Linked DNA regions of Rattus norvegicus. The protein of the gene in region 2 interacts with the protein of the main gene of each other region in a biochemical or structural test. Links are inferred from orthologs where the notes say so. Each region holds a gene or a part of one and is shown on either strand. Other genes may lie near its edges.

Region 1 (2,651 bases), on a different chromosome or scaffold from region 2:
AGTAATATTGGCAATAATCTAACCTTAAAGGTGAAAATGCTACACCATCTTATCTTTAACACTTAAAACTGATCTAATGTTAAACAAATACAGTGAAAGTCCTATGTAGGGGAGTGTCACACCCATTACTACATTAACAAACCTTTAACACAAAAGGACCGTTCATTAAGGGACTTCAGTGTCTGGGTGCTTCCAATGGAAGAACTGAGCAAAAAGGCTCCAAAAAAAGCGTAAATGACTTGAGAGTGGAAATTTGTACACAGCCTTTGGAAAAGATGCCCGTGTTGGGGGGCCTGCTTCAGGACCTTGCAGCTTTGGCTCCACCTCTTGCTGTTCTGCATACTTGTCCCTCGCCTTCTACGAGCCCTTCCAGTCGGACCGAGACTTCCACCAGCTCAAGCTCTGTTAAGGAAACTCTAAAGGAGGGGGAGGGAAGATGGTCTCCGCACTGGCTTCATTTTAAACAGACTATGGCGATGAATACCGCGTTATCTGTAAACGTCTTCTAATGACTGTCCAATCAAGTTTAAAGTCAGTAATAAACCAGAGTACCATTGGTTTAGGTAATACGACACAGCCAATGAGTTATTTTTCGCGCGAGGTCTCACTTAATCCTAAGTGAATGTTGGCTACTAACAACGCTTTTATTCCACACTGGGCAGTTATGGCCCACGTACAGGTCCCAAGTGACCATAGTGGGCCGCGAGACTACCAACAGCCAACATAACCAATTTATCCATAGGTAAGACTAAACCGTCTTACCTTGTAGATTGAGCACAGGGCCCAAATCAGGGCGGGAAGGTGTTCCAGTTGGTTGGCCCAATTGGGAGATAACAACCCGGGAGAGCTTAAAGTGTGTACAGCTACATTCACAGAGTTCTCTGGGTGGCTCTGAAAAGAGCCTTTGGGGCTTTGCTGCTGTTACAAGCAAGCTTACTTCTTCTTGGAAACAGCCTTCTTTACCTTGGCAGCCTTAGGCTTAGCTGCCTTGGGCTTGGTAACTTTAGGCTTGGACGCCTTAGATTTCACCGCCTTGGGCCTTGCCGGGCTCTTAGTCGCCTTTTTAGGCTTGGCAGCAGCCTTGGCCTTCTTAGGGCTCTTGGTAACTTTCTTTACTCCAGCCGCTGCAGGCTTCTTTGCTTTCTTTGGAGTTTTCTTCACGGTCTTCTTGGCCCCGGCAGTCTTCTTGGGCTTCTTCGGGGTGGCACCTGTAGGTTTCTTGGCCTTGGCAGCCCCAGTCTTCTTAGCCTTGGGCTTGGCTTCGCCGGAAGCCACCTTTTTGTTAAGCTTGAAGGAACCAGAGGCGCCAGTACCTTTTGTTTGCACCAGGGTACCTTTGCTCACCAAACTCTTGAGCCCAAGCTTGATGCGGCTGTTGTTCTTCTCCACATCGTAGCCACCAGCAGCCAATGCCTTCTTCAGAGCAGGCAGGGACACGCCGCCGCGCTCTTTAGAGGCAGAAACAGCCTTAGTTATGAGCTCAGATACCGGGGGGCCAGTGGCCTTGCGCTTTGCCGCGCCAGCTTTTTTTGTCTTCTTCTTGGCGGGAGACTTCTCTACAGGAGCGGGAGCCGTAGTCTCGGCGGGAGCAGTTTCAGACATGGCGAGAATAAAATCTGCAAGAAAAGGAAACCTAACGCGAAGAGCAAATTTTGCAATGCTCCTTTGCTCAGGCTCCGGGTTTATATAAGCCGGTGCTGGGCTGTGATTGGTGGAACGTCCAATCCACCGCCCTCTGGCCGCAGCGACTCAAGGTTACAATCCCAAATTGTGTTTGTTAGTCACCAAATTTTTACTTACTGCCGAAAATAATGCCACAGAAATTGGCAGTTTGGAGTTCCAAAGGAGAACAGCCTTCGGATTCACGTACCTGGTTGTGCTTTTTTGAATCCCACGCAACTGACCAAAGGTATTTTTAAAAATCCCTCCAGTGTTTACTAAAAATCCACCGAGCAGAGAGCATCCTGAGAGTTACTTGCATGTTTCCGTAAACTTATACGAAGGATGCAAGGAACATTACTTAAGAGGATTTGTACAAAGATACCGCCTTTAATTTTTTCAAGAGTAAAACTAATAGTTCTTTTGGTTTGGGCAAAAACGTTGTTTGTATCTGTAGCAAATAACACAGGCCTAGGGGCTACAAACTGAAATTAACCACTTTAAATATCTCTCTTTAAAATAGTTCAAACTCCTAGTACTTTGTACAGGGTTGATATCTTTAATGGAAAATGCAATATTTCTAGTGTGAGAGTGACTTCTTTGAAGTAGAGAGATTGAAAATCATTATATTTAGGAGCTGTAGAGACAGCCTAGCATTTAAGACCACTTGCTACTCTTGGAGATTTGGGTTTAGTTTCCAACACCCACAGGACAGCTTGCAACTGATTATAACTCCAGTCCCAGGGGATTTCAGGCTTCTGCTAGTATTAGACATATAAGTGATGCACATATATACATGTAGGCAAACCCTCATGTACATAAATAATTAAAACATATCTCAAACACATAAAAAGGAATCACTAACTTCAGATGCCAATCACCTTAATTCTAAGTAAAAATAAATTAGATATGGTTCTGATCAATGGGCTTTCACAATTTCCTAGGGATATTTGGAGACAGAAAATACTTACCTTAAAAAATATTTTACCTAA
Region 2 (3,651 bases):
AGTTGTCACTGTCCCCATAGAAGCTGCCCTGGGCAGTAAGAGCACACGCACAGCTCCATGCACAGCCCGGCCATGAAAGGATACTCGTTATACAGCAGGCAGGTGTCATTAACACCAGACGGAATCCCTGTTCCCAGCGGAACCTCTACACCATCCAGGGTGATGCTGGCCGAAGGGTCAGGGGCGGTTTTGCCCAAACCTGTAAGGTGGAAGGCTCAAGTGTTAGGTATAACAGGGGGTGTGGAACAGGAGGTGTGGAAATGTCCTGGGTATACAACATCTATTTGATACAGGATGTGTGTGTTCACTTTAAACATCCTTTAGATGCAAACACAGACACTGTAAAGAAAGGTTCCAAGGCAACATTCTAAACCAGTAAAGTTACATTGGTCCAGCTGAGGTTATACCCTAGGCATTGACCATCATATGCTACCCATAATTCCAGGTGCACCAGAGGTCCTCTGGGCCCTGATATCACTGCTCAAAATCTGAAGTGACCTGTGCCCTGCTTAGTTCATGGTACCCCACAGAACTCGCATGGCATTATGACACAAGGACTGAGGCAGTTGTTTCTAAATGAACCTCCTGTAGCGAGAGTGCAGCTGCTGGAGGAAAGGCGCCCCCACCCGAACCTGCCATGTCAGGCTGGGGACAGTACCTTTGACACTGTGCTTGCCCTTGGGTAACTTGCTGATGTGAGAAGCATGCTTGAGTTCGTACCTATTCAAAAGAGGACAGTCTCAGAAGAGCCTCTGGTCACTGGGCTCCCAACCAACACTCCCTCAGCATCTTTACTGGCATGGAAACTAAGCGCCCACAGAATTCTGTCCACCCTTACCCTGGCACCTCCCTCCCCAGCTCCTGACTCTTCTCAAGTAGGGAGTCTGGAACTGCTGCCACTGCTGGGGGGTTATTTCCAAAGAAGGGCGGGCGCGTCTGGAGTTGTGGCCAGCTGCTTGGCGGTTCCCGTCTAGTCTACCCTATGGCTTGCTTCACCATCTCCTTCTGGTCACAGCTCACCAGATGGAGGTTGCCAGAGGATGGAGGAATCAGATCTTCTCTTTGAACAATGATTTCCCTGCCTCCCTGTTCCGCAGAAGGACTGTGCTGCCAGGTCTCGGCCTCCGCATTTCTGCCTTTGGTTTCATAGCTTCTCTGAATCTCCCTCGATCCCGAGCTGCTGTCTACTGCACTTACAAGTCAAAAAGATTCTCCTTCTAGTCTACTCTACCCACCCTGCTCAGAGTCCGGACACTCACATGTTTCCAAGGGCAACTTCTCCCAACAGTATTAAGCCAATCGGGTCTCCCTGAGACGTGTGGCAGTAGTTCGCACTTTTGGACACCATATCAGCAAAGTAGATTCCTTTCCCAAACATGTAGCCTGTCTGGAGAGTTGGAAGAGGGACAGCGGTAAACCTTCCAGTGGTGAATCCCCACAGCTGCTGCTCAGCTAAGCTCCACAGCCAGCACCTCCCAAGAGGAAGGGATAGCTCTTTCTCATCAAAGGCCAGTGCTTACAGGCAGGCTGTGTGAAGTCATGCAACAGCCAAGGATGCCACTTTCTCTTTACCAGGAAGTCTCATAAGGCTAATGTGAGTGAGTTAATAGTCACTACTCACACTAAGCCAGGCACATATATACATCCAGCAAGCACTGATGTCACCATCCAGCCACACACCAGTACCTAGCACAAGAGCTATAGTCACCAAGCCCCTTCCTTTTCTTTACTCTCTACAGTGAGTGAGGGGCTGGGATGGCATCTCAGAGGGCCTGTTCAGTCCCTTCTGTAACCCAGCAGGGGACATCATCTATCCCTTGTCGTCCTTTTTTTTTTTTTTTTCGGAGCTGGGGACAGAACCCAGGGCCTTGCGCTTGCTAGGCAAGCACTCTACCACTGAGCTAAATCCCCAACCCCTTATTTTTTTTTTTTTTTTTTTAAATGGTGGAAATCTGAGAGCTCATGGATGCTGCCAGCTGAGGAAAGGCAGAGGCATGCCTGGGTCCAAAGCCTGTTCCCTTCTGACAGGGCCCGCTGCAGGCTGGACTCTCAGGGGGAGATCACTGCAGGAACAAGTAAGTACTTCTGTACTTCCCATAGACGGCAGCCACCTACCACAGGTGCTTCAGGTGGGGCTATCCGCAGACCCTGTGACAGGATGCCTGCGAAGTTGGTGGTCCTGGACCCGTGCCACAGCAGTCTCCGGTTGTGAAGCTGCCTGAAGGGCTTGTAGCGTTGGCTCTCTCCCTCTCGCTCTATCTTAAAGATCTGGGCAGAAAGTTGGCAAAAGGGAGACAGATATTGTTACTCAGGTTCCCTGAAGGGATAAGTGGACTTGGGAGTGTCCGGTACTGACCACTGTCACAAGAGCTAGGACGGTTTAGCTCTGCCACATTATCACAGATGGGGATGGGATGACCCAATGCAAGTGTCCCAAGGCTCCATTTACAGACATCGGGGGACACACCTAAGGAACCTTTTCTCCGAGACTGTTCTCACTATGTAGACCGGGCTAACCTGGAACTAATTGGTCTGTTAAGCCTCCCGAGTGCTGGAATTAGAGATGTGTACCACATCTGGCCCGGGGAACTTTATCATGAACTTCTTTCTGGTAATCATATTTTCTGACAAATCTGGGGCACTTTCAATACCCAGAAAAAGCCAAGGCCAACTGTACACCACCACTTACTTTCCTGCACAACAAACATGTCACCTCTGCTTACTAATAGTACAGCTGGGCAGCTGTGGCACAAGCCTTTAATCCCAAGCACTCAGGAGGCAGAGAAGGCAGCTCTCCTTTCCAGGCTCGCCTGCTGTAAACAGCGAGCTTCAAAACAGCCAGGAGTACATAGAGATCCTGTCTCAAAAACAAAGCAAAACAAAGCAAATGGCTCATGCTTTCTGAGCCAGGAAAGAAGGGGCTAGGGAGACCTGGCAGGACGGAAAAGGGGAAGAGGAATCTTACGTCTATCACTTCCAGGTCATAGGCATTGTGCGTGGTCGCGTGAGTGTTCTTCACATACTTCCTGATGACCTCAGCCTCTTCAGAATCTCTGTCAACCACCTGGAGAACAGACATCTGGAATTAGGGCAGGGAGACACCCAGAGAGGAAGAATACTGACATACTAACCTAGAAGTCTCCAGGGGCAGTTCATACTGCCCCAGGACTGACCCTGTAGGCCGAGGCCAGGGCCCCATGAGCCTGAATATTTACTTATCCATTCAGACTGCTAGAGGAGAAGCTCAAAGTTCTTGCCTCATGCTAGACTATGAGTTAAGCTGGAAACAGAGGTTCACCATTACTGAGGTGGAACAAGGGAACTATTTTGACCAGGAGTCTAGGAGACCAGGATGTCACAAGGTGACATCATACAATTTTCTTTTCCCTATCCCAGTCCTAAGGATGGACCAAGGGGCCTTTCACATGCCTAACCACCAACTATCCCCCAGCCCCACCTCAGGGTTTTGGGGACAGTCTCTTGTCTATGTGTACCACAGCTGGTTCAGTGCATGCCCAACTAACCAGTGATGTCATCGTAGCCATGCGCGGGAGGCTATAGATGTTCTGTACATTTTCTTGCTTTAAGTTTGGAAAACCTAAGAATTCTGATTATCTGTGCTCTCAACTACAAGCTTTGTAAGAGTTAAAA

What was found. The genes of interacting proteins can lie anywhere in the genome.
Region 1: of the proteins of Parp1 (region 2) and H1f5, one has a biochemical effect on the other in vitro, tested with the Homo sapiens proteins (2 studies listed by BioGRID). The link is inferred for Rattus norvegicus from reciprocal best matches to the Homo sapiens genes PARP1 and H1-5.

What each region holds. Positions count from the first base shown.
Region 1 is NC_086035.1:47,420,883-47,423,533, reverse strand, and holds H1f5 (histone H1.5), read right to left. Parts: upstream 1,660-2,651; 5' UTR 1,603-1,659; coding exon 934-1,602; 3' UTR 629-933; downstream 1-628. UniProt on the Homo sapiens protein: Histone H1 protein binds to linker DNA between nucleosomes forming the macromolecular structure known as the chromatin fiber. Histones H1 are necessary for the condensation of nucleosome chains into higher-order structured fibers.
Region 2 is NC_086031.1:94,866,969-94,870,619, reverse strand, and holds part of Parp1 (poly [ADP-ribose] polymerase 1), read right to left. Parts: intron 3,065-3,651; coding exon 2,966-3,064; intron 2,269-2,965; coding exon 2,116-2,268; intron 1,388-2,115; coding exon 1,260-1,387; intron 721-1,259; coding exon 659-720; intron 200-658; coding exon 85-199; intron 1-84. UniProt on the Homo sapiens protein: Poly-ADP-ribosyltransferase that mediates poly-ADP-ribosylation of proteins and plays a key role in DNA repair.